4 linked regions of the Ovis aries genome follow. The protein of the gene in region 2 purifies or fractionates together with the protein of the main gene of each other region. This does not show direct contact. Links are inferred from orthologs where the notes say so. Each region holds a gene or a part of one and is shown on either strand. Other genes may lie near its edges. The genes, in order: AP3S2, AP3M1, RABL6 and AP3B2.

The links.
Region 1: the proteins of AP3M1 (region 2) and AP3S2 purify together in Homo sapiens (co-immunoprecipitation; 3 studies listed by BioGRID and IntAct, counting the BioPlex papers as one, with this or other methods). This does not show direct contact. The link is inferred for Ovis aries from reciprocal best matches to the Homo sapiens genes AP3M1 and AP3S2.
Region 3: the proteins of AP3M1 (region 2) and RABL6 purify together in Homo sapiens (co-immunoprecipitation; 3 studies listed by BioGRID and IntAct, counting the BioPlex papers as one, with this or other methods). This does not show direct contact. The link is inferred for Ovis aries from reciprocal best matches to the Homo sapiens genes AP3M1 and RABL6.
Region 4: the proteins of AP3M1 (region 2) and AP3B2 purify together in Homo sapiens (co-immunoprecipitation; 3 studies listed by BioGRID and IntAct, counting the BioPlex papers as one, with this or other methods). This does not show direct contact. The link is inferred for Ovis aries from reciprocal best matches to the Homo sapiens genes AP3M1 and AP3B2.

Annotation. Positions count from the first base shown.
Region 1 is NC_056071.1:20,605,144-20,612,116, forward strand, and holds part of AP3S2 (AP-3 complex subunit sigma-2), read right to left. Parts: intron 3,771-6,973; coding exon 3,679-3,770; intron 2,989-3,678; coding exon 2,877-2,988; intron 1-2,876. UniProt on the Homo sapiens protein: Part of the AP-3 complex, an adaptor-related complex which is not clathrin-associated. The complex is associated with the Golgi region as well as more peripheral structures.
Region 2 is NC_056078.1:29,224,405-29,232,066, forward strand, and holds the start of AP3M1 (AP-3 complex subunit mu-1), read right to left. Parts: upstream 4,756-7,662; 5' UTR 4,582-4,755; intron 4,571-4,581; coding exon of another isoform or gene 4,506-4,570; exon of another isoform or gene 4,485-4,505; intron 4,031-4,484; exon of another isoform or gene 3,569-4,030; intron 1-3,568. Other genes in the region: ADK (adenosine kinase), read left to right, coding at 4,506-4,570. UniProt on the Homo sapiens protein: Part of the AP-3 complex, an adaptor-related complex which is not clathrin-associated. The complex is associated with the Golgi region as well as more peripheral structures.
Region 3 is NC_056056.1:1,046,916-1,054,546, reverse strand, and holds the start of RABL6 (rab-like protein 6), read left to right. Parts: upstream 1-3,195; 5' UTR 3,196-3,395; coding exon 3,396-3,525; intron 3,526-3,784; exon of another isoform or gene 3,785-6,040; intron 6,041-7,631. Other genes in the region: CCDC183 (coiled-coil domain-containing protein 183), read left to right, coding at 383-483, 1,086-1,246, 1,435-1,603, 1,689-1,799, 1,868-1,964, 2,573-2,691. UniProt on the Homo sapiens protein: May enhance cellular proliferation. May reduce growth inhibitory activity of CDKN2A.
Region 4 is NC_056071.1:22,311,694-22,318,666, reverse strand, and holds part of AP3B2 (AP-3 complex subunit beta-2), read left to right. Parts: intron 1-4,559; coding exon 4,560-4,635; intron 4,636-4,774; coding exon 4,775-4,849; intron 4,850-5,103; coding exon 5,104-5,199; intron 5,200-6,973.

The sequences.
Region 1 (6,973 bases), on a different chromosome or scaffold from region 2:
AACAAATAACTGGCTAAGATTTTATTTAATGATTCTGTCCAATAGTAATATGTAGTATCTAACTAATATTTTCTTTTTGAGAGGCTTTTGGATCATAACCAATCTACTCCATAAAATACACTTAAGCAGGATGACTTTTTTTAGTCTGAGTTTAAAAAATAACTTACATAATAGATGTTTTCATGTACTTTAACATTTTAAAAAAATCTACTGAGTCTATTAGGGAGTCAGTTTTTCATTTAACCTTTCTTATTTCATCAGGATATTAGATTCAAGGTCTTTCTGTGGACCTACTTTGGATATTTATTTTTTGGAGTCAGTTATGTCAAATACATTGACATTATAACTATGTATTTCAACCTCTAAAAACATTTTGATGGTTTCTTTTTCTGACTTTTATTCTCTTTTTATTAGGATAACTATTGATTTTATTGTCTTTTAAAAGATCAAACCTCCTACTTCCTATTATTTTCACTTTTTATCCATCTTCCCAAATCCAATACACCCTAAGTATTTAATAAATGTCCATAATATTATAAAGTTACATTTCTCTTTGTCTTGTTAACATAGATATCTGAAGTGCATCTCCTCCAAAAACTGCATCTCAATTTAAAAAATAGATGACCGCTATATTTCATTTATTTTCTAATACACGTGTTACATGCACATTCCTATAGCATTCTATAGCGTAAAATGCTTAATACATTGTCACAATTGAATTCTACAACATAGTATTTTGGATTTTTTTAGTTGAAATATAGTTGACATACAACATGATGTTAGCTTCAGATATACTATATAGTGATTTGACATTTGCATATATTACGATACAATCAACACAATAAGACTAGTAACCATCTGTTCCCAAACACAGTTATTGCAATATTATGGGCCACATTCCTTAAGTTGTATACTATATCCCAGGCTCATCTGTTTGACACCCAGAGGTCTGCACTCTCAGTCCCCGTTGCCTGTGCTGCCCTCCACCTCCATGCTCCATCCCTGACAAACATCCATTTGTTCTCTGCAAGTCTGTTTCCATCTTTACAACCTAACATTTCTATACCAGATGGGGGATCCATGACTCACACCCAGGTTTTCTGATTCTAGATCTTGAACTCTTTCTGTTACACCACACTGACTCTCAATACCCAATCTGACTCGGGTGTTAAGAAAGCATTTAAAACTACCACAGAGATGAGTCCCTTTTGGCTATTTCCAGTATTTATTTATACTTTTATATATGATAAGTGAATATGATACCTGAACTTTCTAAACTAATACTAAATCATTTTCTGAATGTGAATGCGTAAAATATATAAATAAAATGAAAATTTGCTATATCTAAGAATATAACTTTTTGGAAGAGTACAGTATATGTAAAATAAAAATACACATTCAAAATTTCCATTTCTTTATCCTAAAGTTTATTAAATTTAGCTTCTTTAATTTTATCTTAACAAAATATAGTTGTAAAGAAGTAAAGTTTATATTTTATAGCTGGAGTTTTCTATAATTGGTGTTATTAGGTTTTACACATGCTCTTTTTGAGTGCTTTCAACTTAAGTGACTTGCTGAAGTCACACAAAGTCTATCCAGAATATCATGTACCAAATAATGGAATTGTCCTAATTAATGGTTCCCAGTACAGGGTCCCACATACCTCAATTTCCATGAAAGTAATGAAAACAAATCTGTAAGCCATTTCTAATTTTCAAAAAGCCTTAAAAAATCATGTTTACCTATGTCAAGACTGTACGTATTAGACAAAACATCAAGTTCCTTTGTTTCAGGCTAGAATTACAAGTGAAAATATAAAGTATGTATTTTAAAATATCATTTAGTTTGATACTTGAAAAAAAATTTCAAAACGTGACATGATGGTATAATTTATAATGACAAGTATTTGGTATTCATCCTTGTTGCTGGCTCCTAAAAACCTTGGAATTTCCAAAGTGATAGGGTTGCCTTGTTCTGCTAATAAGGTTAACTTTTGGAAAGCATCAAAGAATAGGGGCTGGTTGCCATGGGAACCAACTGTATGACTGGGAACTCTGAGTCCCACTTACTGATCTCTGGGAGGGGAGAGGGGATGCAGACTCAATCAATCACCAATGGGCAATGATACAATCAATCATGCCTATGTAAAGAGGCCTCCATAAAACCCAAAAGGGATAGGTTTCAGAGCTTCTATGTTAGTAAACGTGGAGATTTGAGGAGGGTGGCACGCTTGGAGAGGGCACAGAAGCTCCACACCCTTTTTCCCCTGCCCTGTGCTATGCATCTCTTCCATCTGACTGTTCCTAAGTTATATCTTTTCACATTAAGGTAGCAGAGAGTAAAATGTTTCTCTATAAAGTTCTGTGAGCCACTCTAGCAAATTAACTGAACCTGAGGAGGAAATCATGTGAGGAGGCAATCTTGGGCCTAGTCAATCTACAGGCTGTCAGTCAAATGCACAGGCGACAGACAACCCAGACCTGACGTCAATGTCCATCTTCAGGTAGATAAGTGTCAGAACTGGGTAAATTTGGGGGACCCCTGGTGAGTGTCCATGGAGAACTGAGTTACTTGCTTCAGGTGCGGGGTGGGGGGAGTATACATACAGGAATTGGTGTCAGACTCAAAAGAAAGCCAAAGGCAGTGAGCTGGAGAAGCAGAGAACCTAAAAGCGCTAAGAATGGTTGAGGGCTGCTAAGGAGCTTTCTCACAGCACCACCTGGTGGACATGCAGCAATGTTTACCAGTATCGATAAAGAGACTGACTTAAGGATCTACATACAGATAAAAAATTTTTAGCTACTACAGATTTTTAGCTACTAAAAATCCAGACCAAACTTTCTGAAGTGGCTACCATCATTACCTGCTACACATACCTGGATGAGGTCCAAGATCCCAAGTTCACTCTCTGAGGAATCCACACAAAATACAAAGTAGAGGGTAGCATAATGCCGATAAATCAGTTTGTAGTCAGAGCCACCAATCAAACTGTGGAAGACGGGAAACATTTAAAAGCTTGTATTTGAACTGAACATATCAAAGAGAAGCTCTGTGCCAAGGAATGAAAACGGGCCCAAAAGAAAGCAGCAGGGTAGGCCAAACAATAGGCCATCTCCACCAGCTGAAGGACAACCAAATTTGGCAGAGGTGCCTAAAGCCATTTTGCTTCATTTTTTCTTCTACCCATCCTCCCAGGATGGAGAAGGCAATGGCACCCCACTCCAGTACTCTTGCCTGGAAAATCCCATGGGTGGAGGAGCCTGGTAGGTTGCAATCCATGGGGTCGCAAAGAGTCGGACACAACTGAGCGACTTCACTTTCAGTTTTCACTTTCATGCATTGGAGAAGGAAATGGCAACTCACTCCAGTGTTCTTGCCTGGAGAATCCCAGGGACGGGGGAGCCTGGTGGGCTGCCGTCTACGGGGTTGCACAGAGTTGGACACGACTGAAGTGACTGAACAGCAGCATCCTCCCAGGAACCAAACATATAAATATCTGAAGCACAATCATTTAATAGCTTCCCAAACAGAGCTGAGTCTCTCCCTGAGCAGACTATGATCAGCTCAGCTCAACTGCATCAGATACTCACCAGACACTTAAGCACTGCCTGAAGAAGCAATAATGGCATGATAAAGGCCACCCGAAACTGGTATATGGGGAGAAAACTGATGATTTACCTTCCACCCTCCAAGAAGTTACAGATGTTGTCATCCCGCTTGAGAACTAGATGAAAGGTCTCTCGAACAATCTGCTGCTGAATTTCTTCTGGCTATGGAATAAAAGAAATAAAGCGAGTCAGTGGAAAAGTCTGAAAAACTATATCCCTTCCAAACAGGAATGATCTGAACACTTGGTACCAGCTTCTTGAAAAGACAGAAATGATGAGTAAACGAAAAATACAAGGAGAAGCTATAGAAAATGGAAAAGGCTCTGTTACAGGAAACAGAATAGGGTATATTTACCTAGATATCTAGTCCCTAACCATTACTGTCTTGCTAGGTGAGCTGATATTTCTCATACAATGTCAAAGAATTCTCATACAAGGTTAAAGAATACCTAGAAGGCACAATCCTGAAACATTTTATATTACTCTAGAAAACATCTGCTGCTGAGTCACTTCAGTCGTGTCCAACTCTGTGCAACCCCATAGATGGCAGCCCACCAGGCTTCCCCGTCCCTGGGATTCTCCAGGCAAGAACACTGGAGTGGGTTGCCATTTCCTTCTCCAGTGCATGAAAGTGAAAAATGAAAGTGAAGTCGCTCAGTCGTGTCCGACTCTTCGCGACCCCATTGACTACAGCCCACCAGGCTCCTCCACCCATGGGATTTTTCAGGCAAGAGTACTGGAGTGGGGTGCCATTGCCTTCTCCGAGAAAACATCTATGCCAGGACAAATAACAAATGTCAATAGATCTACCACTGTAAGGAAGTCAAGATGTAATCATGTACATGTTTTAAAAACCTACATGAGAGCCCCTTGGACCGCAAGGAGATCAAATCAGTCAATCCTAAAAGAAATCAATCCTGAATATTCATTAGGAGGACTGATGCTGAAGCTGAAACTCCAATACTTTGGCCACCTGATGCGAAGAACTGACTCACTGGAAAAGACCCTGATGCTGAGAAAGACTGAAGGCAGGAGGAGAAGGGGACGACAGAGGATGAGATAGTTGGATGGCATCACCGACTTGATGGACATGAATTTGAGCAAGCTCTGGGAGCTGGTGATGGACAGGGAAGCCTGGCATGCTGCAGTCCATGGGGTTGCAGAGTTGGAAACAACTGAGCGACTAAACTGAACTGAATACCAGTAATACAGACATTATATATAAGATGCTGTGTGACCAACAAAGTACTACTGAGAAAGCAGAAAATATTCTATTGAGAGATTTGAATCTTGAACAATTGCAGAACTATAAATAGCTTTTTTCACTTACTATTCACTTACTACACACCAGAAAGCTCAAATGTGATGGGATCTCTTGATGACCCACATTTGATTTCTATTTATACATAAGAGGTTCATATTAAGTATGTTAAAAAAAAAGATATGGAGAAATCAGTTATTAAAACAAAAACAGGGACTTCCCTGGCAGTCTTGTGGTTAAGACTCTGCACTTCCACTGCTAGGGGTGTGGATTCAAATCCCTAGTTGAGGAACTAAGATCCCACATGTCTCTTGGCCAAAAAAAAAAAGACAAAATTAAAAGCTCTAGACTAGTGCTCTCAAATCTCAATGTATAATGGGATTTTCCCAGCAGTCCAGTGGTTAGGACTCTGCGCTTTCACTGCCAAGGACACAGGTTCAGTCTCTGGCAGGGGAACTAAGATATCTCAAGCGAGATGTCTCAGCCAAAAAAAAGCAACAACAACAACTCAGTGAGTTTGAATAATGAATCACCTAGAAATACTGTTAAAATGCAGGCTAATTTAGTAGGTCTGGGGTAGGTCCTGAGACTGCAGTTCTAACAAGTTTCCAGGTAATAAGAACGCTGCTGATCTGAGAACCATTTTGAGTAGCAAAGCTTAAGAAAACCATCAGACTGGACTTACCCTCAGAGTCAGAAAATAAACTCAAGTAACATTAACCCCTTTCCCTCTAGAGCACTGAATTTAGGCTAGAAGTGGTTGGTTATTTAAAAGAAACAGAAGAAAAAAGAGGAAACATCATTGTGGAGCAATTACTTTTCATAACTTTGACTTACACAGGTACACAGTGGCTCTCCATATTTAATGAATGGATGAATAATAAAAACTTGCTAATAACTGGTCACTGTAAGTTTAAGTAAATCAATCACTATTTTTTGGTTTCCATTTAAAAGAACTCACAAAGTTCACAGATGCCAGGATGCTGTAAATGTTTAACTCTGTGTACCCAGAAATACAAAACACGCTAAGCACCAGCATTTTTAAACCAAAAAAATTCTTGAAAACTATAGTCTTTTATCTGACTGTACCGGGAAGTGATGGTAGTCAGTGGGTAAGCAGTATGAAATGGTGAGGCTACCTAATTTCTAATTCAACAAAATAGTAAATTACCAAATGCTTACATCTGTCAGTGATTTTCATAATCCTTCATATCTTTTAGTACTTTGCAGTTTCCAAGGTTATTTTCACTAAGGAGCTAATTTAGTTCTTAAAAATCCTACGCTCTCCAAAGAAGACATACAAATGTCAGTAAGGGGACGAAAAAAATCAGTCATTAGAAAAAACCAAAACCACAAGGAGAATCTACTTAACACCTACTAAAATGTCTCTGATCAAAACGATAATAGAAAATGCTGACAGAGAGGCAGAAAAATTAGAATTTAAAAAAATATTTATTTTTGGCTGCGTTGAGTCTTAGTTGCAGCCTACAGGCTCAGTAGTTGCGGTATGGGCTTAGTTGCCCCAGGGCACATGGGATCTTAGACCCCAATCAAGGATTCAACCTGAGTCCCCTACATTGGAAGGCAGATTCTCAACCTCTGGACCATCAGGGAAGTCCCAAGCTGTACTTCTTATATATTGTTGATAGGAATGTAAAATGGTATAGCCACTTTAGAAAGCAGTTTGGCAGTTCATCCAAATGACCACTACAAAGTCACTATGTGACTCAGTAATTCTACTCCGAGACATACCCAAGAGAAATGAAAGTACACACTCACACAAAAAGCTTGTACATGAATGTTTATAGCAGAATTATTCACAAGAGCCAGAGGTAGAAACAGCATCTGATGAATGGATAATCAAAATGTGATAGATCCACTCAATGCGATATGTGCCAAGTTACTTTACTAGCCTCTCAATACAACCCTGTGGACAGTAGCCCACCAGGCTCCTCCATCCATGGGATTTCCCAGGCAAGAATACTGGAGTGGGTTGCCATTTCCTCCTCCAGGGGATCTTCCCCACCCAGTCACTGAACCCAGGTCTCTTATGTCTCCTGCATAGGCAGGCAGGTTCTTTATCACTAGCACCACCTGGGAAACC
Region 2 (7,662 bases):
CGACCTTAATCTTCTATTACAGGGAAAGAGAGCTTATTTCTTTTATCCATATTAAGACCAAGGGCCTAGTGCAAAAAACATATACTACATGCAGCTGTGTAAATTAAGTTGTTTCTTTAGCTTCTTATCCTTTGAGTAGCCGCAGTTACTTCTTCCATTATTTTAATAGACTTTCTGGGAAAGCTACCACAACTATCATTTTGTTCCTAGTGACTTCAGAGTCAGAAAACAGCATTCTCCCAGCTTATATTAAAGCCACTTAAGAAACTGTGTTTAGAGGCAGTTCCATCAGAGCTTCAATTGCAGCTTAAATATTTCATAAACCCTCTTCACTGAATGTTGAACACATGCAGCCTGATGATTCACAAACAATGCAATCACAATAGTCAAAATGAAGAGAGTGACTAAAAAAGAAAATGTATTCCTTCTGCACATAACAGAATGGAAGCACAGAAGGGCATGTATCTAAGGTGAGAGAATGAAACCAGAAAATATTTTAGTCATTCTGATTTTTAAACAATATTTGGACCATTGTTCATTCAACAAAGTTTTGTATGTTTTCTATATCAAGCAATGGGGATACAGTTGAATAAAACAGAGTCTCTGAACTCAAAGCATTCAGAGTTCAGCAAAGAAGGCAAACAATTTAATACAGTAAGATAACAGGGGAAAAACAGTGTGCTATAAAAGTCCACAAGGCTTCAAGGTGAGAAAGAACATAAGGTAAAGAAATCCAGTACAAATTTAGCAACTTCAGAAGGTGGATGGAGGTGGTGAGATAAAAATGGAGAAAAGCAGATATTGGTTCACTTTGTTCCCAGTGCAATGCAAAAAGTCATTTTTAAAATGGTTTTATGCAGGGGATTCATGCAATCCAATTTATAGTTTTAAGAAAGATCACACTATGGAAACTGGATAATTGGGCAATTGAATATTGTGACATTAGCTGAGAGATGACTTATGTGGTGGCCTACACTAGAGTGCTGACAATACAGATGAAGCAAAATGAAAAGGTAAGAGAAACATTTAGGGTTGAGAAAAGTTTTGGGGGTAGAGACGGGGCAGTGGACATGAGAGGGAAAAGGAGGAATTTAGTTCTGGTCCTATATAATCTGACCCAATTCCGGATATATTTGACCCCAATGGATATATTCAAAACACCACTGTATACAGAGGTCTGGTGCTTCAGAGGGAAGCCAAACTGGAGACAGATTTGTGAGTACTGTAACTATGATTTTTTATTAATGGAAATTATAACAAAAGGAGGCTAAAACTGCAAACAGAGAACGTATATAGTAGAAGAGAACCTAGAGAAAGAACTTCAACATTTGAGAAGCATATGGGTCAAGTCGGCCTACAAAAAGAGTGACAAAATGTGGCTGAAGATGGATAAGGAAAAAAAAGGGGGCAGAGTTTTTAGTAACTAGAGTATGTCAGTCAGTGTGTTTCCAGAACAATGGAGCGGTAAACATTTTAAATGGCACAAAGAGGTCAAGCTATAAGAAAAACTTAAAATATCTGTTATTTTACAGTGTTCCTCAACTTTTTTTTTCATTATTGCATCTGAAGAGGCCTTTTCAGAACCCCATTCATTATTAATTCCCCATTCCTCCATAAAATTATTAAAATCATAGAATATTTCTGTACACCTCTTTATGTACCATAAATATCTGTGCTTTATACATAAAAAGTATGATTTTTTTTTCCTCATAAGAAGCAAATTTTGTCCCTGATGAGAATGTACAATTTAGAGGCTATTGGTGATCTCAGTGAAAGAAGTTTCATTGTAGCTCAGTGGAACAGTGGCAAAAAGATATACTACAGTGGGCTGAAAAGGACATAGCAAGAAATGGGAAAAACAGAGATAAGGAGAGTAGATGATACAGTCAAAAACTATAGCTGTGAAGGAGATAAAAAGGCAAGAAAATAAAGGGGAATAGTTCATAAAGTTAAGGAAGGATATTTTTAAATGCTGAAGGAAAAATGTGAGTAGAAGGGAGGCTGATGATGTAGGAGAGAGGGAATAAGTTAAGGAACTCTGAGAAGGTAGGGGAGGATGGCACTGGGAAACTCAGTGAAAGCATGTGTCTTTCCTAAGGAGAAGGGGCACTTTCCCTTCTTTAAACAAAAGGAAAGCAGATTTGTATACTTGGTTGCAAGATGATGGCTTCTATTTTCTCTGTCCAAAAGAAGAAAAGGTCATTTGTTGAGAAAGTGAATTTCTCCTCTCTACAAATACCATTTGTTATGTGTGAAGAGCTACTTAAATATATCTAGTCTGCAGGGAACTCCAACAGTCTATTATGTTGACTGTTTAGAAACCCTGTAAAATCCTAAGATTCAGTAAGAAAAGCTAAACCTTGTTGCCAAGAGAGCTTCCCAACTAAAGGGATATTAGGATTCCGGTAATTTTTCTCTCATCTCAATCCTCTACTTTTCCTATGGTTCATCTGAAAGTGTCCTCTGTCCTTTGCAACAGTAATCCTTTCACCTCTAATTCTGATCCCATCCCCTCTCCTCTCTTCCAAGGTCTTACTTCTTCTTTCTTGAATCTTTAATCTTATACATTAGTTACTTGCTCATAAAGTGCCTTGTATCCTTTAAAGCAAACAAACCCCAAACATTTTAGGGAGCTTGCAAACAATTTTTCTCTTCATGCTCCACATGAAGAAGCATTGGTCTACACTTGCAGTCTCTCCTCTCAATAACTGACTCTTATTAAAGCAGTTCTTGGAAATGACCCAATGCCTTCTTAATCATCAATTCCAACAACCTATTCTCAGACTTCAACTTCCTCCTTTGATCCTTGCAGCATTTCATGTCGCTGTTAGGTGTCTGCCAAACAAAACAAATACTTCTTACCAAATTATATGAAACTTCACCTGTTTTGGTTCTCACCTGGAAAGTTTCTTTCTGGTTTGCTTATCAGAATGTTTTTTTTTTTTCAACCTTTCATCTCCATCTAAACTACTATCTCAAAATGGATATAGCCCAAGTCCTACAAAATTCCTCCTTCTCATGTGGTGTTGTTTAGTTGCTAAGTCCTGTCCGACTCTTTTGCGACCTCATGGAACTGTGTAGCCCGCCAGGCTCCTCTGTCCATGGGATTTCTCAGGCAAGAATAATGGTGGGTTGCCATTTTTTCCTGACCCAGGGATCGAACCCGGGTCTCCTGCATTGGCAGACAGATTCTTTACCACTGAGCCACTTGGGAAACCCTTCTCAGGTGAAGACTACTAATTTGAAACAAGTATCAACAAGTCTTCCCTGTAGCTCAAAGGGTTAAGAATTCTCCTGCAATGCAGGAGACCACGGTTCCATTCCTGGATCAGGAAGATCCTCTGGCGAAGGGAATGGCAATCCACTCCAGGATTCTTGCCTGGAAAATCCCATGGACAGAGGAGACTGGGGGGTTCGTGGGGTCGCAAAGAGTCGGACACGACTGAGCAACTACTACTACACTATCAACTTCTTAATCAAGCTCCAACTTCAACCCAAATCCAACTGTCACCTCCTCAGTTTAGATTCCTATTAACTCATTTTTGAAGAACTGCAACACCCTTCTCACCGTATTCCCCGAGGCTCATCCAGGTGCCACCCTCTAACAGGAGGCCCGCTCGCGTCAGCTAGGGATTTTGTCCTCCAAAGCAGAAGCCTGGGGTTGAGGTCCGAGCTGTTGGTACTCCAGCTCTCCGTGCGTGACAAGACCTTTTTCCCGCGCCGAAGCACGACGAGCGACCCCAATGAGCCTGAACCTCTTGAGCTTGAGGTCTGAAAACACTGGGCTGTTAGGTGCACCGTTCCCTTCCGGCCTAGCTGGCAAGAAGAACCGGAAGGCCGGGAGGAAGGCGCGGCTTCGGTTCACAGCACCAGAGGCGCTTCCACACCCCTGGCTGGAAGCCGGAGCTCTAGCTACTCAGTCTACTTCCCAGCTTTCGTGATGTCCCCTGTCCGTAGACCACCCCTCTCTCCCCCGCCCTCACACTCACCCCGGCTCCTGGGCCCGTCAGTGATTAGACGCGAGGTCCTCTCCGGACCGAGGCTGAGACAGCTGAGAAAGCCGCGAGGACCCTGCAGTTGGGATGCCCAGTAGATTGCCTGAGTAACAGCATCAATATAACCAATAGTTTTGGGAAGAGTAAACGAGCGGGAAGACGCTGAATGAGAAGACGTCTTTCGAATTTTAGGATATCATCTTCTGAATCATCCAGGTCTAGAAGAATGGGAGCGTTCACCTCTTTTGGACTCAGGCGCTCATCTGCAGCCTAAACCAGTCTGGGGTGTCCCTGGAGTTGAGCGCGCGGGGTCTGGAAGAGCTGCGTACCAGCCAATGGGTAAGGCCAAGAGGTAGGGCCAAAAGACTGGGGCTGGGAGAGGCACGAACTGGGAGGAGCCAAAGGGGCGGGGCTTAGTGACAAGGAGGCGGTGATGCGGCCAGGGGGCGGGGAGAGGGAGCCGAAGGGGTGGGGCGAGCCGTGGCGCGTAAGTGAGGTGGGAGCGCGAAGATGGCAGCGGCTGAGGAGGAGCCAAAGCCCAAAAAGCTGAAGGTGGAGGCGCCTCCAGCGCTGAGGTGAGCCCTACCTGACATAGGGTGGAGGGCGACGATGCCTGCCGCTAGCCAGGGGCCACGTAGGGTTGCGCGACAGAGGCGCTGGGTGGTAACCTCAACCCCCGGCATGAGGCCAACGCACGGGACGGGTAGCTCTGGTAGTTGCCCGCGGGGCTGCGACCCTTTGCCCGCTGTCCGTCCAGTCTGGCCCAGTCGCCGCAGGCTCCTGAGACGCTCCGCCGCCCTTGACCAATCAGAGCGCCGGCCGGGGTGCGGAGCCGGCTTTGGGCAGGCTGCCGGCGCCACGTGGGAGCCCGCCCCCACTTGGCTGTGCGACCCGGGAGGACCGGACCGGACCCGATCTGAGCCGAGTCAACCGCGGTCACCTCCTCTTCCCTGGGAGATGACGAGGAGAATGCCCAGCGACTGGCCTACCCTGAGGCAAAGATAGAATTCTTGGGTATTTTTCGTAAAGGTCGCGGAAGGGCGCTTTGACCTTCCTTTTAGCACTTAGGTAGATCTGAATGCTGGTACCTTTGCAAATCCTCTACCGGGAACCAAGACCCCGCCTCCGAGGCTTTGCTGGAGTGGGGTCGGGGGCGTGGGGATGGCGTTTGCCAAAATGGTTAGGAAAGGTTAATTTTTCTTCTTTGCACATTTGGCAGCAGTGGAGATAGTTCCGCACCTAACATATGATTTGATGTTGCAACTTTTACTTACAAAACGTTACTGGTTAAAATATTCGTTTCTGATAAGTATAAAGTGGAGTATGCACGTTTCTGGATGATTTTGCAATGCTCTTTGGAAGGCAGTGGGTTTTCTATGTAAAGCTAGATATATAAAACTGATTTAAAACTATTGGGACACTCCTGATTATACAAATTTAGTTTCTTCCAACATGACCCTTCTTCACTTTTGAAAGAACTAATCTTTCATGTTTGAAAAGATCACTTAGGAGTCCGGTGGTCTGTTCACGCTGTTTTCAATGGATAATTATGAAATCCCTGCCAGTATCTTTAATATATTCATATTACCTTCAAAGGGCCAAAGTGTTAGTGTGCCTACCTTATATAAAGAAAATAAACTTTTTTTTCTCCCCCACGACTCAGGTTGTCTGTTTTCGTTTTAAGCTTTCAAACTACAGACTAAAGCAAAGGCTTTTAAGTCAGACCTACCTGAATTTGAGTTGTTAGGAGAAGCAAACTGAAACCGCCCACCCTGGCCAGGCACTGTAATAACCATTTGCCATGAGTTATTTTACCATATGAGGTCATGGTAAGGGACACGGAATTAACAAGCCACCATTAACCAGATGTATTTGGGAAGGGTTAAAAGGAGGCATCATGTGTCCAACCATCTCCCAGAATCTTTCTCACTGGCATCCATCTTGGCTAAACGGTGCCTGTTCCACCAGGAAGGACCCTGAATCAGAAAGATTGGCCAAAGACAACCCGAAAACTAATCCATCACCTAAAACTTCAGACTTCAAGAAACTGTGACAGAGCAGTTCTCCTGGGTTGTGTTAACCTACTGCTCTCCGGCAGGCGTCCCTTTCCAATAAAGTCCCTTGCTTGGTCAGCATGTGTGTCTCCTTAGATAATTCATTTCTGAGTGTTAGACAGGAGCCCACTTTTGGGCCCTGGAAGGGGTCCCCCTTCCTGCAAGAAAGGCATATGCTTTCCTTGAAAAGCACCTTCTTAACAAAGTTTCCTGTACCAAATTGGAAGACAGCTCCAACTTTTCCCCCTCCTATCCTACTGAAGATGCAGCCCTTAGATTTTTCTCTTCTGCTCCTCCATTTTCAAAGTGCTTTCCTGTTTTACAGATGAGAAAATGGAAGCCCAGATGAAACAATAAAGGAACTGAAGTTTGAACAGAAAGAATCTGGGTGCAAGTTCATTGTTATTTGACTTTACTATACCTACTTTTATACAGTCACCCAAGATATGCTTCTCTCTGACTATGCAGCCTTAAAAATAATCATAAAAAATAATGTTTAATATGTATTGTTTCAGCATTTTGCCTATTTTAACTCATTCAATCCCACAACCACCCTTCAAGGTAGACACTATATGTCCATTTTACCAAGGAGGAAACAGGTATAGAGAAGTTAAGTTAACTTTATCGAGGTCAACTTTATTAACTTCACATTTTGATCAAAAGCCCTAGTGAACTATTAACTCAGCTTTTGTTTTTTGTTTTGTTTTTTGGTCACTGTGTATAATTTGTTGTTGTAATACATGAGCATATGATACTTAATAATTCTTAAACGTGTATAATGTTATTTTACGTGTCATTAGTGTCTGTCTACCTAAAACTTGAAATGGCAACCCCCTCCAGTGTTCTTGCCTGGAGAATCCCAGGGACGGGGGAGCCTGGTAGGCTGCCATCTATGGGGTCGCACAGAGTTGGACACGACTGAAACGACTTAGCAGCAGCAGCAGCAGTGATTGTCTACCTAAAACTTGTAAGTCTTTACTAAGTGTAGACATGAAGGTAGGATTAGACACTTGAGTACTGGAATAAATCTCTTCATTTTGTGTGAAGGCCTTTTGTGATTGGCTATTCGTACTTTCATTATATTCATTTGTCTTTAAGGATCTCGGTGTGATAATGTACTGAGTGGTTAGATTGTGTGCCTTATTTACGATGACTTGCTTGACATTTAAGAGGCTAGCTACCAGTTTTGGTTAACTTTTAAGAGGATGGCTTATAAAGGCTGTTGTTCAGTCATCAAGTTGTGTCTGACTCTTCATGACCCCATGGACTGCAGCACACCAGGCTTCCCTGTTCCTCACTATCTCCTGGAGTTTTCTCAAACTCATGTCCATTGAGTTGGTGATATTATCTAACTATCTTATCCTCTGTCACCCCCTTCTCCTCCTACACAGGAAGCCTCCCAAACAAAAAATTATCCAGGCAAAAGTGACAATAATGTGGAGGTTGTAAAAACTCTGCTCCAGAGAGAGCATCTGACAAGTCTAGTTTCCCTTTCTCAAAAAATATCTTTCTAGGCTTTTTAGGGTTACTGAAGTTGGAAAGAAGCTAGCTCTATCATGTTTTCACACTGGGCCGAGGAACAGAAGGGAACATTAATTGAGTGCCAGGCACAC
Region 3 (7,631 bases), on a different chromosome or scaffold from region 2:
ACGCGCACAGGCACACACCAGTGGCCGCAGCACTCGCTTCGAGCTGCTGCTACTGGCTCTGGGCTCTCGGCCAGGTGTGGCCAACCCCACCCCCGCACCCCGCCTCTCAGCTGTAAAATGCACTCAGCAATGGCCCCCCCGGAACCCAAGCCCCTCTGAGAAGCTCCACTAAGCCCTGCCGCACCAGCCGCTTCTGGTTCTCCTCTGGATGGAGCCACTCGAGGGCTGGCCGAGGAGGGAGCCAGTTAAGACAGAGGCGACTCTGAAGGGTACCCAGCTCTTGGGTGGCCTCCCCTGAGGACGTGGGGGGCATCTGACGGCCCACACAGAGCTCCCATGCCCTCCCTGCCCGCTGGCTATCCTTCCCCTCTGCTGCACCCAGTGAGGAAGAGAGAGGCCTCCAAGGCTGACGTCGAATACGAAACAAATGTGACTGCTCTGGTGGAGAAGGTCAAGACTGCTGTGCAGTGCTCCCACCTCTGGGTACTACTCCCTGACTCCTGGGTGTGGGCAGAGGGGCAGGGGAGGGACCCGTCCCCAGCCCAAGGCCCGGCCGAGCCCGGCCAGGCTCTGCAGACACCTTCACGTGAATGGACACACAAAGCAGCCACAGATCAGAGTGGAGGGCCTCCTGGGACGCAGCCAGCAAACCTGAGCTGTGGTCCAGGGTCACACAGAGCCCACGGGAAGTTGAAGATTAAACCCCGAGGGGGTGGCCTCCACCTCCGACTCCTTCCCCTTCCCAAACCAACAGCAGCTGCCTCTCCACCTGACCCCCCTTTTACTTTAATCCGCTCTGAGATTATTATTAGCAAACCTTGAGCTCCTGTCCATGGTCCTGACATAAGCTTATGCCCCCTCGGACAAGCGACTCAGAGCCACTCGGCCTCTTGGCGGTGGTCGCTCCGGCTCTCCGTTGGGGTCGTCTGCCCGCTCTGCCTGTCGTGAGGGCGGCGTGCAAGAACACACACCGAGGGCCTCGCGGGCCCTCCACACACTGCCGCGGTCGACGCTACTGACCACTGGGGGCCAGAACCAGCTGCCTCCCGGCTCACAGCTGCTGCTCACCCCACTGGCCCTGCCAGGACATTGCCGGCCGGTTCCTGGCTCAGAAGGGCACGGAGGAGGATCTGGAGCAGCAGAAGGAGGACTGTGAGGAGAGGCGGGCGCAGCTGGACGCCTTGATGAAGAGGCTGGAGATAGAGGAGGCCACGCTCAAGTTCCGCCAGACGCCCAGCTCCATCAGGTACGCGGGTGGTCCCGCCTCTCTCTGCACTGACAGCACCAGGCTTGGAGCTGAGCAGGCTCGCTGCCTCAGGGCCTGGCAAGGGCGCCCCCCGCGTCTTAGCTCTTGAGCCCAAATTAGCACAGCACTTGCTCTGGACCCCGCCGCTGCGCCCTCGGTCTGCCACCTCCCACCCTCATCCTCAACAGCTTCAAGTCCGTCGAGAAGAAAATGAACGATATGCTGAAGGAGGAGGAAGAGCGGCTGAAGCTGGCTCACAGCAAGATGGCCACGAGCCAGAAGCTGCTGCTGACCATCCAGACCGGCATCGACAACCTCTACATCCGCCTGATTGGCATCCCGCTGCCCACCGGCCAGGTACCAGCGGAGCTGGGAGGAGCCCCCAGCACAGAGGGTCCCTGGGAGGGGCCAGGGCGAGACAACTGGTTCCTCGCCGCTACAGAAGGAAGCAGCGCCCTCGACCACCCTGGACATGTACAGCAAGCTGGCGTACTGCGAGGGGAGGCTGCTATACCTGGCTGACCGAGTGCAGACGCTGGCTGGAACGGAGGAGGTAGCCCTGGGCCAGGGGTGCCTGCACGCCCCACCTGCCCCAAGGCTCACTGGCCCCGTGCCCTGCAGGTCAACAACAAGGTGAGGGATATGCTGGAGTCCTCTACCCTGAAGGAGAAGCAGAACACCAGGATCAGCTTTGAGGAGACGGAGGAGGACGTCATAGGTACAGGAGGCCCAGCAGCTGGAGAGGAGGCGGGGGCGGGTGGCCGGCCTGAGCTGTGTAGAGGCAGGGGCGAGGGGTGGCACTAGCTGCATACGACCAGGGTGGCCTGGAGGGACAGTGGGGGCTAAAGCAATGGGGAGGCCGCGTCAGCTGCACCCACGGGATTTTAACCGATGGAGGTGATGACAAGGCACCAGTGCCAGTAGGCAGGCAGGGGGACCTAGGCCAGGGCCCCTACGGGGGTCTGTGTGGGAAGGGCAGAGCAGGGCACACAGTTTAAGACCCTTCCATTCTAAAAATTCTGGGGCGTTTGCGGCCTCCGGGCTGTCCTCCTCTTGTCTGGCACCTGGCCCTGAGGGATTCAGGCTTGGCGTATAGGGTAGATATTAGCAGTCGAGTGTGGGCTCCGGAAGAACTGGGGGAACCCTGGGCTGTCTCTCTCCCCGAGTGTGCGAGACCCCAAACGCCAGACAGAGAGTAAGAAATACAGGTCGTTGGTACAACGGGCCCTGCCGTGAAAGGGCGCCGGAGGACAGCCCAGGATCTGGGGACACAGGCGGGGCAGAGGGGCTTACGGGCGCGGCTGCCCTCCCCCTCCTTCCTTGCAGAGACCTTCCAGTTCGCCGACGTGGACCACAGTTACGTGCCCTCGCGGGCCGAGATCAAGAGGCAGGGTCAGCGGCTGATGGAGGAGAAGCTCAAGGCGGCCAAGAAGAAGAAGAAGTGACCGGAGGAGGAGGAGGCCGCCCCGCCCCACACCCCGCCCCCACGCTTGCATTGGCTACACAAATAAACAGTTTTCCAGGACTTCGGGGCGCCGAGGGGACGCGGATGCAGGGCATCACGTGGGGAAGTGTGCAGGGGAGTGGGATGCTCGGTGTGGGTCTGGGCTCTGGGATTCAGGGGCGAGGGTGAGTAGGAGGGTCCAGGCCGGGGCACGGACGGGGATCCGGACTGAGCTGAAATCCGGGGGACAAACTCGTAAGGCGGGACTGCAGAGTCAGGCCCTTTGCCCGCACCGCGCCGCCCTCCCGTAACCCTCGCGGTGCCCGGTACCCGCGCGCCCCGCGCCCGCAGCATTCTGCGCATCCGCACCTCGCGAGCCGCACTCCCGTGGCCCTCGCGGCGCCCCGTAGCCGCACGCCCCGCGCCCGCAGCGCTCTACGCACGCGCGCTGCACCCCCGTGGCCCTCGCGGCGCCCCGTAGTGCGCGCCCCGCTGAGCCGGCGTCAAGATGGCGGCGCTGACGAGCACAGAGCGGCCGCGCCGGGGGCCGTGGGGGCCGGAGCGGAGCCTCCGCAGCTGAGCCCCCGAGCTGCCCTGCAGGCCGGCGTCCGCCCGCCGGACCCCGGGACATGGTGCGACTAGCGCCGCGCCGCCGCCGCCGCTGAGCTCGCGGGCCGTACCGGGCTCGGACGTGGGAGCAGGAAGATGTTCTCCGCGCTCAAGAAGCTGGTGGGGTCGGAGCAGGCCCCGGGCCGCGACAGGAACATCCCGGCCGGGCTGCAGTCCATGAACCAGGCGCTGCAGAGGCGCTTCGCCAAGGGGGTGCAGTACAACAGTGAGTGCGGCCCGGCGCGGGGGCGCCTGCGGGGCGTGTGGGGTGGGTGGGGGCCCGGCCGCGCCGCCCGGGACTCGCCGAATCCGGGCAGCGCCCGGGCGCTCGTCGCACCCCGAGGGCCTTGCGCTCCGCGTTCCGGCGAGCCGAGCCCTTGCCTGTGCCTGCGCGGATGGCGGGGGCGCCGGGGCGCTCCCTTGGGGTCGGGAGGGGACGCGGCCCGCCGAGGAGGGCCCAGGGCAGCGCAGGACCGGGGGCCGGGGCCTCGCCCGCGGCTCTGCCGTCTGGCCTGTGGGTCACTCCGCAGGAAGGCGGGCCCGGGGGCGACCGGCGTGCGTCCCGTGTGCACGGCGCGGTTGGTCCAGGCGGCCCCTGGCGCGTCTGCGGCACCCTGGCTGGCCCAGGTGACCGCGTCTGAGAGGAGTTCTTACGTAACGCGGGCGAGTCTGTGGTCTGTGACCGGGTCTTAAAGGGGTGGCGGGCTCTCCGCCCGCGAGCCGTGTGGCCACCCGCCGGAGGACGGAGCGGGGGATTCCGCTGGCCTGCTAGTTTGACCTACGGGGTTTTTCTTTGTAGACTTGGTATTCGGTTTGAAGAGAGAATGTCAGCTGCGCCGCTCGTTCTTGCTCCCCTTTTTAAAAAAAGAAGCATTTGTAAGAGATATATTTAGAAGGGCTCCAGAAGGAACAGACCCTTGTTACTGCGGAGACTTCTCTTCTCCTGTGGGAAGGAGTTACTTACCCGATGGCCTGAAAGCCCAGATCGTTTCCAGTCCTCAGCTATAAATTATGTAAAACTGTTTAAGCTCCTAGACGCTGACTGCCCTCTTGACCTCTTTAAAGTTTTTCCATCTTGCTGGCTTTTCCGTAGCGGTATTTGAAGTTGTTTGTTTGTTTGTTTTAATGTGTTCTCTGCTTCTAAATCTTTCCCTCTGGAGTATTTCTGTATATTGCTACAAGATACCGGACATTCCCCCATTTCCGACTTTCAGGGGAGCCTGCCAGTCTCTGTGATGACCCCTGTATTTCAGTTAACAATGTGCCATGTTAAGAAACTGATTGCAAAGACTTTGAACTTAAAAGAGGAATCGTTTTGCAGGTATTCTACCCAATTTTGTGTGTGATTCTCTCACATTCCCAGAAGAGAATAGTAAATCAAAATACTCCTTTTCAGGGACTTCCCTGGTGGTTCAGTGGATTAAGCTTCCACCTTCCAGTGCAGGGGACACAGGTTCGACCCCTGGTCGGGGAACTCAGATCCCACACGCCCAGGAGCAGCTAAGCCCACGGCCACCACCAGTGAGCCCCCACACCCCAGCCAGAGAGAGGCCTGTGCCGCAGAGACAGCCTATGGGCCACAGTTAGGACCGACACAGCCAAAAGTAAATAAATATTTGTTTTAAAAAACACCTCATTTTCACGTCTTATAATTCACATTTGGTTCCTGTTATTTAATTTTATTCAATTCAGTTCAGTTGCTCAGTCGTGTCCGACTCTTTGCAACCCCATGGACTCCCGCACGCCAGGCCTCCCTGTCCATCACCAACTCCTGGAGTTTACTCAGACTCATGTCCATTGAGTCAGTGATGCCATCCAACCATCTCATCCTCTGTCGTCCCCTTCTCCTCCCGCCTTCAATCTTTCCCAGCATCAGGGTCTTTTCAGATAAGTCATCTGTTCGCATCAGGTGGCCAAAGTATTGGAGCTTCAGCTTCAACATCAGTCCTTCCAATGAACACCCAGGACTGATCTCCTTTAGGATGGACTGGTTGCATCTCCTTGCAGTCCAAGGGACTCTCAAGAGTCTTCTGCAACACCACAGTTCAAAAGCATCAATTCTTCGGCGCTCAGCTTTCTTTATAGTCCAACTCTCACATCCATACATGACCACTGGAAAACCATAGCCTTGACTAGACGGACCTTTATTGACAAAGTAATGTCTCTGCTTAATTTTATTAGTTATGGTAGTATTTGTTAAAACTTAATCTTACTCCTTTGGAAACTGGCCTGGAAAGTGTTCACCTGAAAAGCCCTCCCTGGTGGACATGCCCCCTGGTTGGGGTTGGGGGGTGGGTCAGAAGCAGAAAGGACACTGGCGTCCTTCCAGAGAAGAGCCCCCACTTCAGGTACTGGGGGGTGCGCGGCAGCAGATTCTGAGGTGGAGCAAAGTGAGTGAAATGCAGAGCGGCTGAGAGAAACCGAGCCCTGTGCCCGGGTGGCCTTTCAGGCTGATGCTGCCCCTGTCGTGGGCCAGTACGCGCTTTTCAAACTTTTTTTTATTTCCTTTATTAGTCAGCAGAAAAGAACATTTCTAGTCTGTATTTTCCGAAACATCTTACTTAAGGAAGCACCGCAGCCATATGATAACTACGGACTCAGGATTTTTATGGGTGAAGAGCTCTCATAGAACTTTGTTCTCGTGCAGCAGATAAGTCGTTTCATGCAGATTGCTGTGATGGTGAGGAGTGACTCAGATGCACAGTCCCAGCATACACATCACAGTTAGAATCGAAACCCAGGTGAGACACGGGACCGTATCTGCGGGTCAGAAGCCATTCGCGTGTAAAGTGGCAGGGTGCTCCCTGAGCTGTCTGCCCTTTCTGCCCCTGGTGGGCCCGGGCGGTCAGCTGTGCTTGGTGGGGTGAGGTGCACTGGCCTTGTCGGTCCTGCGCCCTCGCTCGGGGCTGCATTCAGAGTCCTGGCCAGTCAGATTTCAGTGCTAGAACTCAGCGCCTTGACAGGTTGGTCACGGGATGAGAGCGCGTTTCCTTTCGGAAATAAGCAGCTGCGTCTGGCAGACTGTCGGGCCTGCCCCAGCAGGGCTGACCTGCAGGTCCCTGAGCATTTGCTGCCCGTGGCGTGCGCCACGCTTTCCTTCCTAGGTTTTCCTTCCCTGGCATTCATCTGCTTAGCAGATATTTACCGAGCGTTCATCAGTGAAAACCCAGACCGCAGTCTCTGCATTTCGGGGCTTACCTTTCAGGGGAGAGTGGAAGGCAGGCAGCGGGCACAAGACACGCCGAGGAATTAAGCACGTGGGACTGGCTGAGACTGCTAGGCGGAAGGTTAGCGCCGGCCCCACGGAGGAGGGCCGAGGGCGGGTCACAGTGCGGTGAGGTCCGGAGAGAAGCGTGGGGCCAAGGCTTTCGCGCCATCCCCCATCCCAGGGGCCCCGCGAAGAGAGACCCTGGAGGCTGTGTTGGCAGGCGCTGCCGGAAGGAGGGGCCGGCTGTCCAGCGACCCCTGCTGGCGGCGCCACCGAAGGGCACCGTCGGGTTCCAGTCCTGCCTCCTGCCGAGGAACGCGTCGTTCCCATCCAGGGTAAACCGGAAGCTTTCTTTCCTATTTTGGAAAAAAGGTTCCCTGTTTCGCTTGCAGTGTGTGGCAGTCTGAGTAAGTTACTATAGAATCAGGGAGTAGAAGAGACTCTGCGGCCCTTAGCCGATCCTGCCTGCGGCGCTCTTCCCTTAGAATAAAAGGGACAGAAAGAAATGCAGGGGTTCTGCTCAGGAAGACGCCCGCGCGCTTCTCGGGGAAGGCTTCTTGCCACTTCCGGGTGAGTCTTAATTAAAGGGTTTCCAGTGAGTCACTTGATTTATTTGAGTGATGTCTAAGTTTCTAAGATTGATTTGACTTTTTTACTTAGAAGTAGAGATCAGTTACTTTTTTTAACCAGATGAAACCAGGTCTGTTTGTTTATTTCTGGTATTATACACTTTCTTCTAATTAGCTTTTTGAAGAATAGATTTCAAATTTTAAAAGGATTTCAGTTGGAGAGAAAATTAAGGCTTTTCATTCTCAAAACAGAATAGAAAACAAATATATGTTAAAGTTGTTCAGTTCAGTTGCTCAGTTGTGTCCGACTCTTTGCGACCCCATGGACTACAGCATGCCAGGCCTCCCTGTCCATCACCAACTCCTGGAGTTCACCCAAACTCGTGTCCGTTGAGTCAGTGATGCCATCCAACCATCTCATCCTCCGTTGTCCCCTTCTCTTCCTGCCTTCAATCTTTCCCAGCATCAGGGTCTTTTCCAATGAGTCCATTCTTTGCATCAGGTGGCCAAAGTATTGGAGCTTTAGCATCAGTCCTTCCAATGAATATTCAGGAC
Region 4 (6,973 bases), on a different chromosome or scaffold from region 2:
GAGAGCCCTGGAGAGGGATCTGACTCCAGGAGATGAATGTTTCATGGCCTTGGAGCGTTGCTGTGTCTCTCTCCCTTCCTCTCCATCTTGGGAACATCAGCTGGTGGAAGTGAAAGTGAGGGACCCAAGGTGGTCTGACCTCAGGTGGGGGCTGCTGTCTGCTAGTGGGCCGCTGACAGTCTTGCCTGTGCTATGTCCCCCAGCCCCTCTCTTCCCCTGAGTCCCCTCTCCTAGGGTCCTGGACCCTCCCAGGAGCCTGGAAGGTGGGTACTAGGCTGGGAGTGCAGGATCAGTGTGGGTACCCAGCACCACCCTGGGTGTGGACACTTGACATGGGCTTGTGGCATCTGTAGGGGAGGTGAGGACGCTTGGGTGTGAGGAAACCTGCTGCAGAGAATTCCTGAAGGTAAAGGGCCCCGGAGTCAGCTCCAACTGGTGCCCATCTGACCCGTAAAGAAGTCAAAGGATCTGTGAGGCTGGATATATTTGATCTTAGAAGCCTAAATTTATCATCAGAAATCACACATAGGAGTCCGCAGGCCATTTTGGTGAATGAGATTAGAGTGACGCAGTTTTGTCAAAAGGCTGTATGTGTGCGCGATGTGGGTGGCGTGTGTCTGTGGAGGCCATGTGTGGGTGTGCATGTCTAGATGAGGGTGTGGGGCGGTACAGAGGGCTTGTGGTGGGTGTCTGTAGGCGTTTGCAGGTGAGGCGTGTGGGTCCACAGGTGTGTGGCTTTATGTGCTGAGTGTTTTTGTGGGAAGGTATGTGTGGTATATGTGTCTTTGTATGTTTCTGTGGGGATTACGGGTGTGTCTGCAGGGGGTTTGTTGAGTGTGTGTGGGTTTATGTAAGAACTACATATATCTGAGGGATGTAAGTGTGTCTTTGGGGGTATGAGTATGTCTCTGGAGTGTAGGTGTCTCTGTGGGGACAGATGTGAGAGTATATTGGTGATACCAGTGTTTGATGCGGTGTTGGGGTGATGGGGATCTGCAGGGGTGAGTTGACTGTGTGGACGTGTGTACAAAGGATCCTGGGTGCGTGATGTGCATTTGTGTATTGGGGAAGATGGTGCCCAGTTCTGTCATTCTCCCCACGCCCTCCGTGCTGCCCAGGCCCAGCTAAATGGTCTGTACCTCTGTCTACACCCATCTGTCCTGAGTTCAGCATGCCTGGGACTTGACCACCTGGTTTGTGTTTGGGAGAGGGACGAGGTGGTTATCTTCTGACCCTCACTTGGCCATAGGCAGTAGAAAACGTCCTCTGGTTCGGGGGGACATCTTCCTGAATGGAAGCTGTTCATTCTGTTTTTTTGTTTTTTTTTTTTAACTGAAGTATAGTTGATTTACAATGCTGTGTTAGTTTCTGCTGTATAGCAAAATGATTTAGGGACACATACACACACAAACACACATACATATATTTTATTATATTTTTTTCATTTTCTTTTCCATTATGGTTGCTTTTTAGGATATTGAATCTAGTTCCCTGTGCTATACAGGAGGACCTTGTTGTTTATCTGTTTATATACGGTAGTTTGTATATGCTAATCCCAAACTCCTAACTTATCCTTCCTCCACTCCCTTTCCCCGTTGGTAACCGTAAACTTGTTCTCTGTGTCTGTGAGTCTGTTTCTGTTTCACAGATAAGTTCATTTGTGTCATATTTTAAATTCCACATATAAATGATATCACATGGTATTTCTCTGACTTACTTCACTTAGTATGATAACCTCTAGGTTCATCCATGTTACTGCAAATGGCATAATTTCATTCTTTTTTTTTATGGCTGAGTGGTATGGAGGGGTTCTAGATCAATATGCGTGGGACTGGACATCTTCTCCAACCCTCATCCGACAGCTAGCAAGTCCTCTGTGTTCTGGAAGTCATCATCTTTCTACTTTGCTTCCCATCAAAAATGTCTTCACAAGAAACACTTGTAAAATCCTGGGAACATCAGTTTCTTAGCACTCCTCCCGTCTTTTCTGATTTTATCTGTTAAGCACTCGCACATTTCTGCAAAACGCAGCCCTGTGACTAGGTGTCTGTTACGTCAGGTTCTTTCCTTCCTCTCAGCATTTATCACTTACTCATGTCTCAGCATCAGCACTAGTCACACTTGCCTCTTTATGGCCGTTAGCATGCTCTTCCCTCTCCTAGAATGGCTACGTCTATTTTCTGATTTTCTGTTGCTTCTAGGTGTTTCACTTCCATGACTAACTTTGCACACACTGCTGTTTAATTCCTGCCATTGGTAATACCTCTCCTGGCAGGGTCAAAGCTATGGGTTATCTGAGTATCATCTGGGAGGTCAGAGAATAGACAGGTCTCCATTCACAGCTGCTCATCGCATTTTGGAGCTGCCTGGACAGTATGAGCGCATCTGTGGTCCTGCCGCTCTGTTAGCTGTGTAGACACACATTTTCCATGAGGTGGTTTCGCGTTTCTCTGCCTACTTCTTCGGCCCTCAGCCGCTGGGCCTCTGGGTATGCTTGGGCAGGTTGTTCACTCCTCAAGGGCACATGGTCAGGGAGTGCCAGACCACGCTCCGCTCACCGACTGGGGAGCAGCTGCTCAGGGCTGTGTCCACCTGGAGGGGCAGGGGCATGGCAGGGGGCAGCCCTGCCAGTGAGTCCTGAATATAGACCCGAAGCTTGTATCAGTACTTTATTTTTAATGTTAAACTTGTATTCACCATATCCCAAATATTTTCCTTTCTGTTGCTATTGTGGGCTGAAGTGTGGTCTGATATGTTGAAGCCCTAACCCCCAGTACCTCAGAATGTGACTGTGTTTGGGGACAGTCTTTTAAGAGGTGATTAAGTGAAAAGGAGGTCATTAGGGCGGGTCCTAATCCAATACGATTCACTTATGATGAGAAGAGGAAACACAAAGGGAAGACCATGTAAAGATAAGGGAAGACAGTCATCTGCAAGTCAGGAAGACAGGCCAGCCCTGCTGACACCTTGATCTCAGACTTCTAGCCTCTGGAATTGCAAGAAAATACATTGAGGTGGTTAAGCCACCCAGTCACTCTGTGGTACTGTTACAGCAGCCCTAGGGAACAAATACAGTTTTGCCTTGTTTTTTTTTTTTCTTAAATTTAGTTTATACACAAGAGTTGAAAAAAAAAAAAACCTAGCATCTTATTACTGATAATTTTATGACCTTGAAAATTAAAATTTCCCCTCTTCCATACATTGAAATAATTTTTAAAAATGATTCATCTACTTTTGTCTCTGGTGGGGTCTTTGTTGCAGCACGCAGGCTTTCTCTGGTTGCGCGAGTGGGGGGCTATTTTTCACTGTTGTGTGCAGGCTGCTCATTATGGCTTCACTTGTGGAGCATAGACTCGAGACTCGCAGGCTTCAGTAGTTGCAGCTCATGTGTGCGGGCTGAGTAGTTCTGGCACATGAGTCTAGCTGCTCTGAGGCATGTGGGATCTTCCTAGACCAGGGATCGAACCCATGTCCTTTGCACTGCAAAGTGGATTCTTAACCACTAGACCACCAGGGAAACCCAACATAATTTAACTGTTAAACAAATGTGGGATTTATTTTGGTGTGAAGTACATGTGCAAGTTAAATTCTTTGCTACGTAGCAGTTGTCCCAACAGCATTTGTTTAAGGGGAGGCAAAAGTTTCTTTCTCCGATTGGTGTTAATTGTTCCTAATGTATCAACTTAGATCCATTTGTGAAATTTTTAATCTGGCACCACACAGCTTTTATCATGGTCATTTGTTTTGTGTTTTGAATTCTGGTTAGGTGAATTGTCTGTCATTGTTCCGTTTTTCTCATTTCCATCCCCTTTTGCCCCCAAATTCTCTGGAGTTCTCACCTATTGATTTTTGTTTCTGGATGAATTTTGCAGTCACTTCAGGAAGTCTAACAAAAGGCCTCCCTTGAAATTTCAATGGCCATTGCATGACATTTAGATACTGGCTTGGAGACTAACATTATTCCCCTCCACCAAGTGCAAGGGGTTATTTATTTACATCGTCGTTTACCCGGGACTTCCCTGGCAGTCCAGTAGTTAAGACTAAGCCTGCCAATGCAGGGAGTATGGGTTTGATCCCTGACTGGGGAGCTAAGATTTAACTTGCCTCTCAGCTGAAAACCAAACCTTAAGAGAGAAGCAATATTGCAGATGTTCCTTGGCTTGCAGGTGAGTCACTCCAGTTCTCTGTATCCACAGTATTCTCCCTGCATCTCTCTCTTCACAGGGCCATCTCCTTAAAGCACGCCAGACGTATTGAGTTAGAGACCCACCCTCCTCCAGTATTAGCTCATCGTAATTACAGCTGAAACAATTCTGTTTCCAAATAAGATTACATTCTGGGTACATTCTTTTTTGGGAGGATCACAGCTCAGCCCCGCAACATTGACTGACCCACATGCTTCTCCCCACCCTAAGTCCCCTGATCTGTATTTTACCACTTTCCTTTGTGGTCGAGTCCTGCCTTCCCTGCCCAGGTCCCTTCTTTCTGTCTGAATCCTACTGATTGATAGCCCTGTCCCCACCGTTGTGCCCTCAGCTGACCTTTTGTGTCCCCACCAGGCACGATGACCTGAAGGCGATGCTGGACACCAACAAGGATTCGCTCAAGCTGGAGGCCATGAAGAGAATTGTGGCGGTGAGGGGGGTCAGAGGGGATCCCTTGGGGGAGGAGCTTGCGGATCCAAGAGCCCTCCTTGGCTGCTTGTGGACCTTCCCCCAGTGAGTGCTGGCATCCTCCCTTCTTGTTCCCCCCCTACCCTGACCCCACCTCCTAGATGATTGCCCGGGGAAAGAACGCCTCAGACCTGTTCCCCGCCGTGGTGAAGAACGTGGCCTGTAAGAACATAGAGGTGAGCGCTACCAGGGAGGAGTCTCCCTCGTCCACCTCCAGGAATAAACCGGAGCTAGTTGGGGATGAGAAAGGGGACAGCCCAGTCCCTGGTCCAGGAAAAGACCCCTCCCAGATGTCCCTGAATCAGACGTGGATCAGCATGATGGGGCCAGGGTACCCTGGATGCTTTCCCTGTGGACCACAGCCACCCGGGGTGAGGACATCTCTCAGGACGGGGCCCCAGTCCCTGCTGAGAAACCCCCTCTTCCCCAGGTGAAGAAGCTTGTCTACGTGTACCTGGTGCGCTACGCTGAGGAGCAGCAAGACCTAGCCCTGCTGTCTATCTCCACCTTCCAGCGTGGCCTGAAGGTCAGAGGTCTCCATTTGCCTCCCTGGGGTCTGGGCCTTGATGGGGCTGTATTGGAGGTGTGGACTTATTCACAACCTAAAAGTTGAGAATTAGGTTTCATTAGGTGGGCGTTTTTAGGACTTCAAGCCTAGGAGGCAGCATCTAAGTAACCCTGACAGAACTGCTCCAAGGAGGTGAGGGGAGGAGTCAGGTTATATGGAAGTTTTGCAACAAAGGGCAGGTGGTCTAACATCAAAAGACAGTTGTTAATGAAAGAAAACCAGATAACCCGGGTTAAGGAGTTTGGTGCTTTTCTGTGTGTGGGAAGATGCGAGAGTCTGGGCTCACTGAAATCATTCCTTTGATGTGCACCGCAGCTATCTGCGGCCAGTATCCTGTGTTTTCATATCCTGAGTTTCTCCGGGCTCACCATGGGAAGTGGCTGCAGTCTGATGACTGCTAGATGGCCGGTGTTCTTTCTTCCTGAGGTCCCTCAGGGATCACCAGCTCACTGTCCATGGGGGCTGCAATTGCTGATGACTGTGACATCCTTTGTTTGTCGATAGGGCAGGAAATAAATTCCGTTTGTCAGAGGAGTGGGCCCAGGGAGAGGCCTGAGTGCAGGGGTTGGGGGGTGGGCGTCAGGCTCTGGAGGCCCTTTCCTACCTGGCTAAAGTCAGGAGAGTCAAAGGCGCCTGTGCTAATGGCTGCCTCAACTATGAATCACTTGAGCCCCTGACACTGGCCTTCACCCTACTGATGTAAAGGGATTGAGGCCCACAGCCAGGCAGAAGTCAGCCTTCTTAAGACAGAGTAATGTGTGGGGAGCCCGCTGACCTGGATTCCTCACCTCTCGGTGTCAGAGCCTTGGCACTGGCTGGCTCACCTGGTTTGAGTATCTGCTAGGAACAATGGCTTTGGAACCTTTTCACCTGAAACTGGGTGAGGAGGACAAAAGGGTTTATTGGAAACAAATGAGCTCCATGGAGAGGAAAACCACAAAGCTCACCAAGCTGGAGAGCAGCCTCAGACGTGGAGACTGGGTTTGACAGTCTGCAGAGAGAACATAAAGACAAGACCATTCCATTTTCAATAAGGTTAGTACAGCCAATGATTCCTTGAAAGTAGGAAGAAGTTGATTATTCGGTTTAGCCCCCGAAGAAATAATTGACTTGTCTTAGATGCCCCACTGGATGTAAAATATCCACCTTTAAAGACCTGGATCGGGACTTCCCTGCTGGTCCAGTGGTTAAGACTCTGCCTTCCCAATGCAGGGGACATGGATTCGATCCCTGTACTAAAAACTAAGATCCTGCATGCCCTATGGCGTGGCCTCAAAATTTAAAAAAAAAAAAAAATATATATATATATATATAAATTTTTTTTTTAAAGACCTGGATCACTTTTGTGGCAATAAAATGCTCTTTGAGGCAGGTAGAAACTGAATCACTTAAGGGAAGGGACAGTGGGAAGATTCAAGTCCTTTCGTATGCAGTGGAGGCTGACCCCTCACAAACACACACACACACATTTAAACTGAATATTCTCATCTTTTGTATGTTAGATGCATGCATGATAATCTCCACTGGGTGCTTTTGTCGTTAGGATAAGGTAACTCCAGGGTAAAGAAGTCAGCATCACTATCTTTCTATTCTTTGTCCAATCAGACTCTCCAGCTCTGATTACAGCCATTAACTCCTCTAGTCTTTCCACACGTTTAGTTCTAATTCCTGTGAGAGGGACATTGAAAGGTCTGACTCATCTTTTCCTGTTCAGCTGATTCTGTAGGTTAGC